2 linked regions of the Astyanax mexicanus genome follow. The protein of the gene in region 2 interacts with the protein of the main gene of each other region in a pairwise test. Links are inferred from orthologs where the notes say so. Each region holds a gene or a part of one and is shown on either strand. Other genes may lie near its edges. The genes, in order: grb14 and fgfr1a.

Region 1 (7,345 bases), on a different chromosome or scaffold from region 2:
TATTTGTTAACTAATCTTCTAAGGCTAAAGCAAACTATTGCCAATTGCAGCATGCACATATGGGACCCTTTTAGATTTTTTTTTTAAGAATGGCACCTTCACCTTTGTTCTATGAACAAATAGAGGAATTGAGGAATTCAGCCATAAATACAGAATACACACGGAAATACACAGAATTAGACAATCTAAAAAATAAATTAATTAATTAAATGACCGGCAGTAACCGGCACTGTAGCCTGGTGCTGGCGTTCCACCATACACATATCATACCAAACAGCAGAACTCACCATATCTAATCAACACAGGAACATAAATCAGCGATTAATTTATCTCAGAATTTTAGCATCCAGGCTAACACCCTCCAAACCTTACTGCTAAGTTCAGCTGTTAGCTAGGTTAGCATTGAGCTGTTAGCTGCATTCCTGTGTTCTGATGTCAAAATATAGTTCTATGCGATACAGTATTTACAGCACTACTGACAGTTACCAATTGATTTTCATTACAAGGAGCTTTTAAGTTTAAGCCCGTTATTCATTCATTCATCTGCTCCTCAGGTAAAAGTGAATTTAATTGTAAAGTTTTAAATATTTTGATTATGAATGTGATTAATTTAGAATATTAAATAACAGTGGATGTAATTAATTTGATTAATTGCCTCACAGCACTTTACCTTCCTAAAAATCTGAAATGAAAATATTTTAACAAAGTTGACAAAAAAAAAAAAACACAACACAGAGACTGAAATGTAAAGGCCAAGTGCACATTGGGCACAACTAGTGGAAAAGTGTTCTTAGAAAAAAATGACAGTTTGCAGAGCCAGTTCTTGGTAAATGTTGTGCAGGGAACCGGTTGAGGAGTAACCCTCACGTGCCTTTTCATTTCAGTGTACGAACAGGTAATATAAAAAAAAGTCACAGAGAAGCAGGTAATTATAGCCCAAAGCTCCCAACTACGCACGCGGCCCACTGCCGCCTAGCACTGCAGTCTCTACATTCATCCTGTAAGTGCAATGTTCCCTTAACATGAAATCATGCTAGAAACAGACAATTTGCATGTCTGAAGAAAGTGGTCAGGAGCCAGTAAGACAAAAGGGTGAGATCTGTGACGCATAGTAGGCCTGGGGAGAACTTGCTGAACAAGCACATGCACACAACGCTGAAGAGTTTCACTGCTTCATATACAGAGTTACACAGGGAAACATAGCAAAGAGCTTAATCTAAACATAAACTTTAGTTTCCATCAGTAATTTAAAAAACAGAATGATTTTAGTATCATTTCTGTATCATATTTTATTCAGCAGAATTATGCTAGTTTCTAAAGCTTTGCTAGTCTCCTAACACTATGCATTAACGAGTCACATCAACCACTCAAATAATTTATGGTCAATAATCATCAACTCCATCAGACCTTCTAGAAGTCCTACCAGTTACTGATAATTGTTTGACCATGTAGACTATTAGGACAATTTATGAATAGATTAATTATTGTTTTGTTAGAAAATACAGGAATTACAAAACTTACTGTAAATGTCTGTAAAAAGGCATGCCTGTACCCACAGATTCCATGAAATAGTAAATGACTTAATATTAATTCATTAATGTTCATTTAAAAATGCATGACTTTAGTAGTATTTTACACTCTTCCATTCTTCACCCACCCCAGCCACAATATTATAACCAATCCTTATGGCCACAATATTGTATTAGATGTTAATTGGATTTAAACATTGAGTATTCCAAGTGTAGAGCCTAATCTTTACTACAGTGAACTTAACTAAACATAAGTTTTAGAACACCCCTATTTTTTCTTTTATTTGTGGAAATGGACTTCCATAGATATGTGATGGCTAAATTAACAATAAAGATGCAGAGCCTTCAGACCTCAAATAATGCAAAGAAAACAAGTTCATATTCGTAAAGTTTCAAGAATTCAGAAATGAATGTTTGCTTCTGGATAACTTTATGCCAGTCCTGGTGCAAAAAATCAAGCAGTTTAGCTTGTTTTCACTGCTTGTGATCATCAATTACCATCAATCATTTAAGTGGAAAAAAAACAAAGAAACTCATAATTTTTAAGTGGTCTCTTTTTTTCCAGAGCTGTATGTGTGTGTGTGTGAGTTCTAAAGCGTTTGACTGGTAGTGCATGTCTGTCTATCAGCTATTCATGTAAAATACATAGTTACATTAGGCTTCCTTAGCCTACCAACAGGTGGCACTAAGATTTGGAGCCAAATGTAGCTCCAGGCAAACCCCCAGGCGATGGGCATGTAAAATTTCTCCGAGAAGCTGCTGTTAGTCTTCTTGGGAAAAATACCAAACTCAGCGGTGGTGCGTAAAAAGTTCTTTAAGCCCAAAAATCACACTTCAAAAACTAACTACACCTTTCAGATCAAACACACGAACCCGAGAGCAGTAACAGCTAAAATCCTGCTCTACCTGAGAATCAGCCTACCTGCTTACCACTGATCCCCCATCAGTGCAACACTCTTAACACACGCAGGATCTCACTGACACAGACTGGGACTGAGCCTTTTCAGCCTTTCTTATATAAACGGTGCTGCCTCAGTGTTTGAGCTCAGATACAGTGCAGTACTCGCAAATACAGACTACGGTTCCTTCCACTGCATAAAGATACAGTAAGCGAAATGTAAAAGCAATGATAACACACACACACACACACACACACACACACACACACACACACACACACACACACACACACACACAAACACACACAGGAACCGCCGCTCGCGTGCTGTATGTAACTTACGGGTGTAGACCGCTGTGGGCTGGTGCGCTCACTGTACCCGCTGCTGTCCGGAGCTGTACCGCGCGCGCACTGCTCCCATGGCTGTCCGGCCCCGCGCGCTCACTGGGTTAAGGGGCGCCACTTATTACTCATGCAGCGCGCGACGTCACGGTGTTGTGACTGGGCTTTGAGCGGAGACAGCTTGTATACGGGCTTCAAATCACCGTTTCCATGCTTTTAAGCGTCTCACCTAAAGACCATTGTACTGCGCCAAAGTCCTAAACTCCCTAAAGTCCTCCTAAGCGTCCTGAAGGAAACCACGTGCACCCCCAGCTGCGCGCACACGGAGCAAATTAGCCCAGGCGTGCAGCTAATTTCACCACAGCACGAGGAAAGGCGATGCTGTACGTCATGTTTACGTCCGTATTATTCCCCTGTCCGTAAATAAGGGTTCCTTTTATTTTTTAAGAAAAAAATCCATGACTTTTCCAGACACCCCAATTTTCCTGTACATACACAGGCCTATTATACATATTATATAATATAAAATATGAACATTACATTTCTGCAGATCTAAAGACATTCCCAACATAAGGGTTGTCAACAAATACAACCCCTAATAATAATCTTTACTGACTGCTTTGCTATAAAAAAAATACAAGATACCATAATCCAAGAAATGGTATCTAGTTTTAAACACTTTTGTTTGTTTGTTTTTATTTGATTGATGACGGTTTGCTTTTTAAATCACATCATATCCAGCTCTTAACAAATAGAATAGGCTTTACTAGGATTTTATAACAGAAAAAGGCTTGTTTTCTTTTTCTGTAAAAAGGAGGAAGATGGTGGAGTTTTCTGCTCTTATATTATAGAGAGATCGTGTATATGAATGCCCCTGCTCAGTGTTTGCATATGCTGGACAGTGTGTACCATACTAGTGCATCTCAAAAAATAGAATATCATTAAAAAAGTTACTCTATTTCAGTAGTTCAGTTCAAAATGTGAAACTCATATATTATATAGATAGACAGACAGAGATCTATTTTTTTTAATTGCTGATTATGGCTTACAGCCAATGAAAACCCAAGAATCAGTGTCTCAGAAAATTAGAATATTATATAAGACCAATTGGTGCTTTTGGCAGTGCGGGCAGTGTGCCAAGTCCTGCTGGAAAATAAAATCCACATCTCCATAAAAGTTTACAAACATAAAGTGGATGGTTTGGAGAGCCATGTCATCTGCTGGTGTTGGTTAACTGTGTTTTCCCATTAAATCTTACAGCACTTCATGCTAAGGGCAAGCATCATCATCCGGGATTCAAACTGGCAATCCTCGAATCGACTAGCATCTTAGTATGCTGGACCACTCAGAGCCCGTTCAGAGCTGCTTTCCTAGTGGAGAAAAAGGTGACTGCTAGGCCCCTTTTTGCAATAAATTATATTGCACCCTCTAGATCAAGAAATGGGCTTAATAATATAATATAATAAAATAATAGAATGATTTTATGTGCTTCTGCTTGGCTGGAATTCAAACCTCCATATTGGCCCTTTGGGATACGGTTTAATATCCCTGGTCTTAAAATTAGAGAAACCCCCTAATGCCCTCTAGGTGCTGAGGTGGCTGCCCACTGCTCAGTGTATATGTTCTGACCTCAGTTCAATAGTCTGTAAATTCTGTAGTCTGTAAAAAGTCTGTTACATTTGTCATTAATTGTAATGTTTTATTTTTTGGTTGTTTTCTAATTTTTAATGTTTCTTTAGTCCAGGTGTTCCCTGATTGCAAAACAAGTATATATATTTCCAGATTATTTTCTACAGGGTCTGCAAGAATACTTAAAATCCTTCAACAACAAAGCACATACATCACATACATTACAGCTTAAACGCATTGGAAAACCATGATTAACACTATAAACAGTGCATTTGTTTACTACTTTGTACTTGTGTACAGAGTTAGCAAATCCATGTGTCCATGACTAGGTAGCTCTATAAGCCTCTATGCTGCACATAATGTCATATAAATAGCATGTCTCAAAGATCTCCTGAGCTGTCGTGTGTGATGCACAAGGAACAAGCCCATTCAGGAATGACTCATATGTTACATTTTAATGCACAGACTGGAAAGAATTTCAGATATTACAGCAGTATTGTCTTCAAATCAAGCATGAGCAGCCCAGTGTCTTTCTTTTTGTCTTTCAGTTTTGTTGAAATGATGTAACTCAATGTTTTTTTTGGCTACCTTCTTTCTTATCCATTTGCTACACAAATGAAACACCCACAGGTGTAATGCATTATAATCTATGTGTAGGTGCACATTATTACATACTGCTTACTTTACTGTCTTTTATGTCATTTACAATTACGTCGTCATGTGTACTAGTTGTGTTTACCAGCACAAAAGTATTTGTTCAGTATACATGCACATGGGTAAACGGTGACACCATTTTGGTGTAAGTACCCTTTCCACGTTCGTTGATAACAGTATTCTATGCCCTACACCTAATAAGTTAAAGAAAAACATCAAACAAACTCAAATAAAACAAATGATCTTTCATAAAACTGAACATATTCATAATTAATGAAAAATAAATCATATAAAACAACTTAAACAAGGTTCAGAATCAATATGCATGTTTTGACACCTGATAATTCATAAAGATTTTAATATAATAAATTTGAGAATAAAATAAACACAACATATTCCAATAGGTCTCCGAACAATTACAGACCAAGCAAGTCTCTTGCATAATAAGTTAGGACAGAGGTTTAAACCTCAGTGATTTACTTCCCTCAGGTGCGCCTTGTGTTCTGTTTTTTTTCCAATATCACCACAATATACTGCATTAAATATTTCCAAATAAGAGAGTTGATTTTAAAGTCAGTCTTCATAATCAATGAAACATGAGAAGCAAAAGCTGACTCTACATTCGCACTCATTCTCAGACAGAAAATAGAAAACAGTCCAGAGAGCAGTTTCTGAGTTTATAGTTTGGATGGGTATGTCCAGTCCTCGAAGGCTGAAGCAGTGCACAGTTCAGTTTCCTCTGTGCTCTAACCCACCTGTTCCAACTTATAAACAGATCATTCACCCCTGATGAGTTAAACCAGATCAGGAACATTAGAACCCAGAATGAGTTGCTGCCTTCCAGCACTATGACTGCCCTGGTTTACCGACATTGAGCTGCAGTGTCCTCGGTGTAGACAGAAAAGGGGAAACGAGTGGGATGGCTGGAGAAACCGAAGAACAGGATGCAGAGGCACTACGCTTAAAAGTGCTCACTAAGGCACAGTGGGATCAAAGCTAAAGCTAAGAATGTGAAGAGAGGCTTTATTCCTCCTGACATTGTGCTGCATCTTGCAAACTTGGAGCAGGACCCGTCACAGGAGACATCACACATCCCTGCAAAACAAATAAAGTGTTAAGTGAGAGAAGCCCTAGAAATATAGAGACCTTATACTTTAGATGCGGCTAGTATAATAAAAAAAAAAGTTTCAGTTTTCTTTGTAATTATATACAGAATTATTAGGCGTCATTCACGTTTAAAACAGTTTGCTACATTTTACATTTAATACACTGTTTACATATACACTAAGTATTTGTGGACCCCCTTTCTAAATCAATGCTGCTAATTTAAGTTGAAACCATTGCTGACATATATGTGCAAATGCACACACCACTTGTCTGGTCCCTACAGAGCACAATTTAAAGCAATGATGGTGCAAAATTAAATATTTTTTTGGATTTTTCTCTTTTTAATACATATGATTTTGGAATAACCAATGAATGAGTAGATTTATATTACATTTATTTTAATAGAATTTAACAGACGGTCTTATCCAGAGAAACTTATTTCCATATTTTTTAAACTATAATGTGCACCGGATTTTTTCTTTTTCATACGTAAGCTGTACCGGATTATAAGGCACATTAAGCGACACTAGTAGAAAGACTACATCGAAGTGAACAAGGGTAAACAAAAATGTAATACTTAAACATAATAGTCAAACAACCGCTGGATGTTAATCTACACAGATTTCTCTTCTGAAAACCGTTTATTTGGGTGAGTAAAGCGCTTCTGTTTATTTACAGTAAAATTAGCTTTCCAATATTTTGTTTAAGGGTGAGTTTTAAGTTAAGTTGCTCCAGCACTAAGAATGTATAAAGCAGTATTAGCATTAGCTGCTTATCGCAGTACTAGAGGGATGTAAACGCTGCTCAATAGTACTAGACTGAGGAACCTTGAGTAATCTAGCAGTTTGTCCCACGTAGCTTGTTTTAACACAGCAATAATGCAGACTACAGTCCAATATACTCGCTTCTGAATGGCGAAAGAGCTAGCACTGCGGTTAGCAGCTAATGCTAACGCTTATAATGCTGTACTTTTCCGCAGAGTGGCTTTACTGCTTCTTAATACATGACTTGTAGGATTCTTACTTAAAGCGTGTCGGATTATAAGGCACACTGTTGATTTTTGGGAACATTTAAGGATTTTAAGTGCGCCTAATAGTGTGAAAAATACGGATATTTGATTTAATTAAATTACTTACAAAAAGTTAACTTTTTTGCAGGGTGGTGGCAATAGCTGCTATTTAAATAA
Region 2 (7,255 bases):
TGTTCAAATAATTGATATTTATGACAAAAAAAATACTCCTGTTAAAGGAACTCATTCCTGTTACTGGAACTCACTCATGTTATTGCTACATCTCTGAAGGGGTTTTTACATTGTTAAATACAACCCGCGAAAACAACAACAACAAAAATTGTATATGTCCCCAGGCTTTGGAAAAATAATTACATTAAGACATTGGGAACAAAATGAATACAATTATTATTTTGTATTGTAAAATATGTAACAACAATCTTGTGTGTTAGCTTCTTTTTAAAAAGAAATATTTTATTTTTACTGCAAGTCAGTGTAAAATTATACTGAACAACAAGATTCACATTATGTAAAAAGTGAAACAAAAAGAGAACATTTTTGCTTAACAAAAAAGCTAGTTCAAACCCGAATGATCATGCCACCAGTTCTTATATTTTTATTATTAAAAGAATAACAATAAAGAGACTATTATTTTAGCTAAGTAATCAAATTAGTTGCTTGTTAAAGTGCTTGTAATTATCTGCTGTTATCAAGATTGTATGTATTTAATAGCACTCATTGTTTCAGCTAGCAAAGTCTGCTATTTCTGTACAAGTTCACAACAAGTTTAATTGCTCTGAATAAATAAACGTGGCTTTTTATCCCGGAAATCAGAATGCTGCTAACTTGACTTTGGGGAAAAGCCCTGTTAGTCACGGCCCAGTAGTAGTTTAGCAGACTGCACGTCTGGACACACCCAAATCCTCCCCAAGGTATTCCTCTGGAAGATCAAAAGTGAGGAAGAAGTGTTTAGTGTGGAAATATGCCTGTGGTTTCCTCAATTACTGGATAAAATTCCATGTCCATTAAAAATGGAAAAGATTCAAAGTTTAGTATTTTTTAAAAGTTGATACATATATAAAGTAAAAAGTACTTGATTTTAGGATATTCTAATAATTTTAACGTCTTATATATGGAATGATGGGCTTCAGAAAAATGGGGACCAGCTTACATTTCATCCAGCATTTGTAAAGCACAAAAGCAATGCCCTACATCCACCTATAGGCACAAACAGACATTAACTAGTAAGTTAAGAAACCTAAGTGGAACCCGGAAAAAATACACGAGTAGACGGCTGCAGACTACCACTGTTTGCATTGATAGGGTTGATGAAAACATGTTTGAAATGACTTATATCCTTGAAGGAGTTTATAAGCTATGTTACCTCACATATTTGGTTATTCAGTTGTAGTGGTAGTTACAGTAGTCAAATTTACAACTTTAATAACTTTTAATAATAATACTTTGATTAGTATTTACAATTAATGCTGTCCCCATCAAATTTCTAACAATGGGAAAAGACTGTAAATCTCATTACTGTATATACAGCTCTGGAAAAAAATAGACCACTTACAAATGATGAGTCCTTTGATTTTACCAAATTGGAAACCTCTGGAATATCAAGAGGAAGACGGATGATCAGCAGCCATCAAACCAAGGTGAACTTGGCTGCCTGCCAGGAATGGCATTAAGTTATCCAAAAGCAGTATGTAAGACTGGTGGAGAAGAACTGTGATTCTGGAGGGAACTTGTGATTAAAAACCAGGGTTATTACACCAAATATTGATTTCTGAACTCTTAAAACTTTTTGAATATGAACTTGTTTTCTTTTGCATTATTTGAGGTCCGAAAGCTCTGCATTATTCTGCAAATAAATGCTCTAAAAGACAATATTTTTTATTTGGAATTTGGGAGAAATTTCATAGTGTATAAAATAAAACAACAATGTTCATTTTACTCAAACATATACCTTTAAATAGCAAAATTAGAGAAACTGATTCAGAAACTGAAGTGCTCTCTTAATTTTTTTTCAGAACTGTATGTGCCCAATCATGTCTCTGTCTCTGAACCTACTACAAAATCTTCCAGCTCCCCGGTTGTTTGGCACAGAAACATATATGGGGTTCAGAACAAGTTTTGAATTATGTACTCTATAAAAATGCAAATGAACTTTTTCTGCACAGTTTAACAAGATCAGATATTTGAGTAAAGTTAAAATGTTAAAAATGTGTCTCTTTGTATTGTTTTACTAGATTTTTGTTTGTTGAATTGGACATTATAATTACAATTACATTTCAATACATTATTTAAACAAAAGAAAATGTTTTATGTATATACAGAGATGAGATTGGAGATTGGAGATTGGATAGTCCAGGTCCAGGGTTCTATTTGTAACATTAGTCTAGCATTCCCCACTCTAAGCTAAGGTAGCGTGTTACTACATGTATAGCACCTGGAATAAATGATAAATCGTATTAATTAGCTTATAAGCGAAACTATTCCTATATTGATAAGAATAAGAAACGTGTCAGTATTATTCCAACTTAGCTCAGATGTATGTTCATAAATCCAGTCTTTTTTGTGTCCATGTTTAGCTTGGTTAGCATATAGAACCAGTGCTAGGCTATTACTATACAATATACAAGTCAACAAGTCTGGGCAACATTAATGAAAATGTGGACATGGTTTGAGTGGTTTGAGTGGCTTTAGAGACGTGCGTGGACATGATTTTAATAGAAAGATTTGGTAACTACTTACTTGCAGTGTTTGTTAGCCAATCATCATTAGCCTGATTGACTAGCCTACATTTTGCACCAAAGCAGAACATAACACTTCACTTCTTTGTCATGTTAACACTTAATTTGCATTTTTATAGAAGTAACTTTACAGGAGTAAAAACTCATTCATTTTAATAAAAGTCAGCATATAAAATCCAGTTATTTTGGACCATTTTTACAATCGTATCATATTGAAATTTAGTCAAAATGTAACAAATATATTTAACATAAAAATATAAGGTAATGAATAAAATTGAAATATAACTTTACTTCATTCAGGTGCTTGTCTAAAGAGCCAGCCACTAAGCATATTGATTTGTAAAGTACCCCAAAGCAATGACATCACACAAAAAAAACACAACAGAAAATGAATATTTTACATTGTTATATTACTCAGCTAATCATTTCAGAAAGGTAAAGGGTTCATGTGTATTATCTTGAACTTTCGTTATGCTAATCATACACTAGACAACTTTGAAAAGACTCTGAAAAGACTTTTGATAGACCGAAGTCTTAAACCTTCTCACATATAAAGACAAGTCACAGACCTTTTAGTCACAGACTAGTCAGAGACTAAGATTTTGCAAAGATTGGGGATCTTGCAGGGTCACTATTTGCAAGACAGGAAGTAGATTTTTTTTTTTATTATTATTATAATTCAGCAAGTTCTTTCCACGTTTTCTTCTTTCTCCACTGTTGTGGTATAAATAGGAAGACACGTCAGAAAGAGACACTCCACATCACTATTTGCATGAACCAAATCTCGAGACTCAAGACTATAATATTAAACACGGTTGATTTTATCTGAACGTTCAATCATAACCACCTTAAACTGAAGGATCAAGATAAGACACACGCAACTCGACTGTAGCAAGACGTTTTTATCCCGACACTGGAAATTTGTTTGCGACAGTGAAATCGCTTGAAAATCACAGCTTTTGAATTTCAGATAACAAAAATAAGATAATTCTTTTTTCAAGAAATGTATAGGTCTGAATGTTTAAATCTAAAAAGCTTAAGTTTTTTGTGAAGCAAGTTTTTTCAGCAGCAAATTTCACCACCTCAAAGTTCTAAATAAATTAGAATATACAAAGATGCGAGGCGAGTTTGTTGTTTGGTGTCGCTTTTTAAAGGAACCTCAAACTCGAACAGACCCGAACAGCAGGCGATAACTTACACAGACAGCACTGAAGGAGGAGGAGGTTTTTATGTAGGATAAACATAAAAGTACATTTCTAGTCTATACATATAAGACATAAAAATAAACAATTAAGAGCTATTTTAGAAGGGCTAATCAGGTTTATTTATCCTTCTTGGGAAAAGAACTACACTCCCACAATGCAACAGAACCAATGGAGAGTCCTGAGGTGTTGTGAATGGCAGAGGGGGGAGCCAGGTTTCAAACCCAGTGATGTAAGCGAGTGTGTGTTGAGTGTGAGTGTGAGTGTGTGTGTGTGTGTGTGTGTGTGTTTGTGTGAGTGAGTGAGTGCGCGCGCGCGCGCTCCATCGTAGGTAGTGAAGCAGCTCCACGCATGACTCCGGAATCTGGTCTTCTCTGTATCCTCTGGTGTGGGAGGCCGAGAGAGCGCGAGCGAGTGAGGGATGCAGAGGATCACGGTAATATCAGCCCGACCAGACCTACAAACTCAGTCTGCGGGGATCAGGCTCGTTTAGGACGGTCTGTAGTTCGAGTCTAGGCGTTTTAGTCGGAGGATTACTGAGCGGAGAAGCGGTAAAAGTTTTTTTTCCTCCCCCCTTCCACTTTTCCTTCGACCAGACCTCCGTCCTAAACAAAAAGAACCCGGGTGGAAATTTTCTTCGCCAGAAAGGCACCGACTCTGCCGGACATTTACGTAAGATTTGTATCTTACCTTTTATATAAAAAAAAAAAAGTCTTACGTGTTTTTGGATTGACGGTAAGATCGTTTTGGAGTGGTTTGCGGTGATCGTGGAAAAGGAGAGCACTTGCAGCCGAGACGCGAGGCGAGTTTGTGTGTGTTGGTGTCGTTTTTAAAGCGCAGGAACCCCAAACTTAAACAGCAAGCGATAACTTACACAGACAGCGCTGGAGGAGAAAGAGGAGATTTTTGTGTAACGTTAGGATCGACTAAAGAAGAAGAAGAATATCAAAAAGAACTTTCTTTATTAACAGCCCGAAAAAGTTTTTTAAATCTCGGAACGAACTTTTTTCCTCTCCGCGTTGAATACAACCCTCACTGGAGCTAAAAGGTGAGTAACATACCACCTAAGTTCACCTAAGATACATTTTCACTGTTTAAATCTGAGTTTGGCTGTTTTTCTAGCTTGTTTTGTTGATGTTTACAGTACTGAAACATGGCATGCCGTGCAAATAACACATCTGGTTGTAGTTACTCAACTAACCTAAATTAGATTAACTAGATGAACGATTTTTTTTTATTCTCACTTCAGCATTTTAGTAGCTTAACTTAGTTAGCTAATGCTTCAAGTGTTCTATCTATCTATCTATCTATCTATCTATCTATCTATCTATCTATCTATCTATCTATCTATCTATCTGCATTGATATGTTCATAATGTGCATTATCTTCCTAGACTATGCAAAGTTAGAATCTTTTAAATATTCTTTTAGTTCATTTACAAAAACGAACCCTTGGTTGCACCTTTTAAGTTAGACTTACCAGGTTAATAATAGTTTGTATCTCACTTCACCATTTTAATATCTTAAATAGGCTAATGCTGCAAGTGCTGTATTGTGGCTAGGTTAGTGTTTTATGTTAAGCACTGGATAGGACTATAATCTAGCTAGCTAGGTAAACGAATATTTTTAAACATTACCTAAATTAGCAAGCTAGTAGCTAGGCTATCCATTTTCTCAATGAGTAGCATCTGTATTTAATGAGTGAACAGGGAGAAAGGTGGCTTTATTTTATTTTTGTATAACCTGCTTGACCTATGTAACTTAGTTAACATCCAGTGCTGCAGATTCTGTCAACTAACTAACTTAGTTAGCTAAAATGTGAGTAACCTAGTTAGCTTTACCAAAGTCCACCTAAGAGAGTTTTTCACGATTTAAATCTGTGTATGGTTGTTTTTCTATCTTTTTTTTGCTTATGTTTACAGTGTTGAAACATGGCATGATGTGCAAATAACAACAAACCGGGGTGTAACGTTAACTTAGTAGGAACTAGTAGGACTATTAGGGTTAGCTAACTAGCTAATCTCTTTTTAGCTAAATATCACGTTAGTTAGCTAGCTAACTAGTTGCTAGTTTACGCTGTTCTTAATGACTAGCATCTGTGTTCAATACGTGAGCAGAGAGAAAGGTTGCCACAAAACAATACTATTAAAATACTAAGAATAGTGAGAAAATACTAAGCCTAAAACTGTTGAAAAGTCAGCGTGTTGCAGGAACAAATGGCTGAAGGCGTTTGGTTAACTAGTTGAGAGAGTTGACGGCGCGCAGCTGGAGCGCAGCACAGTTCAATAGCTGGATAATTCTGCGAATCGGTTCTTTTTTGCGAGTCGTTCACACGAATCGGCTCAGATTTCCTTTTACTTACACGTTTAGGTTTTTAAACATGACACATTATGCAATCAAATAAAGATTAAAAGTTGTTCATTCATGCATTTGCAGCATAAAACGCTTGATTGCACAGAATCAAGTGACTCAGAGTTACTTTCTGAATCATTCTTGGTGACTCAGACGAGTCACTCGTCAAATGGCGCTGCTAATGACACTACATGCGATGCGACTAAGGGATACTATCGAGTTCGAGTTACTAATATTTAATGGAAAAGAAGCAAAAACGAAGAAACTCAGATGTGAATCAGCAAATTGTTTAATTAGTCACTCAAATTATTCAAACGGAGCGGTTTGGATGAGTCGGATCGGTAAACAGACTCGATAGCTAGGTTAAGATAAACTTCTCATCATTAACGTTAGTTCACTAGCTACCATTTGGCACGTTGTTGAGCTTTAGCTAGGTTAGCTGTGCTGTTTTAAAAGGGTTGAATCTAGTGTTTTGTGTCTGAAAAGGGTTTTAGACATCCAGCGCTGTAGATAGTGTAGAGAATATTAAGGTTGAAGATGTTTAACCGTTTTAAGTGTGCACTTTTAAGTGTGCATTTTGCTGTTTGTTAGGAATGTGCAATAGTATACTAATCAGATTGGTAATGTTAGCATAAAGGTAATCAATGAATAGTCTTAGGCTTAGATTTCACTGACATCTGTTTATATTTTAATTTATTTTAACCTGTTATGCTTGGTTAATTTAATAAATGTCTGCATTGTGACTGTCATGCGTGGTACTGTGTTTAAAACGCTACATAAATAAATGAGTTACAGAGATTATGCATATGTTTTAAAAATGTTTAGCTATAAATGTGTCTAAATCAGGCCAAAGTTTCCATATCTATGTGCTTCCAGAAGTCTTGAGTGTAAGCCTTAAGTGTAGCCTTAGCCTTGTTCCTTCATAAACCTTTAACATCTGCTAACAAAACACACAAATATTGTACAGTCAGACTATACCATATTAAAGATATTTTTCTTTTTGTTTTATTCCATTTGCATAGTTCAGGCGAAAAAAAAACAAATCTGCTGGGCTTCTGAACACTAGGCAAAAGTAATTTGTTTTTATCTGTATGTCTATGTTATTTCTTTTTAATCTGTTATTTAGGCCTTTTGGATT

Evidence for each region.
Region 1: the proteins of fgfr1a (region 2) and grb14 interact in a two-hybrid assay, tested with the Homo sapiens proteins (2 studies listed by BioGRID, with this or other methods). The link is inferred for Astyanax mexicanus from reciprocal best matches to the Homo sapiens genes FGFR1 and GRB14.

What each region holds. Positions count from the first base shown.
Region 1 is NC_064418.1:34,769,618-34,776,962, forward strand, and holds the start of grb14 (growth factor receptor-bound protein 14), read right to left. Parts: upstream 3,109-7,345; 5' UTR 2,770-3,108; intron 1-2,769. Other genes in the region: cobll1b (cordon-bleu protein-like 1b), read right to left, coding at 6,076-6,147. UniProt on the Homo sapiens protein: Adapter protein which modulates coupling of cell surface receptor kinases with specific signaling pathways. Binds to, and suppresses signals from, the activated insulin receptor (INSR). Potent inhibitor of insulin-stimulated MAPK3 phosphorylation.
Region 2 is NC_064419.1:25,850,229-25,857,483, forward strand, and holds the start of fgfr1a (fibroblast growth factor receptor 1-A), read left to right. Parts: upstream 1-4,050; 5' UTR 4,051-4,814; intron 4,815-7,255. UniProt on the Homo sapiens protein: Tyrosine-protein kinase that acts as a cell-surface receptor for fibroblast growth factors and plays an essential role in the regulation of embryonic development, cell proliferation, differentiation and migration.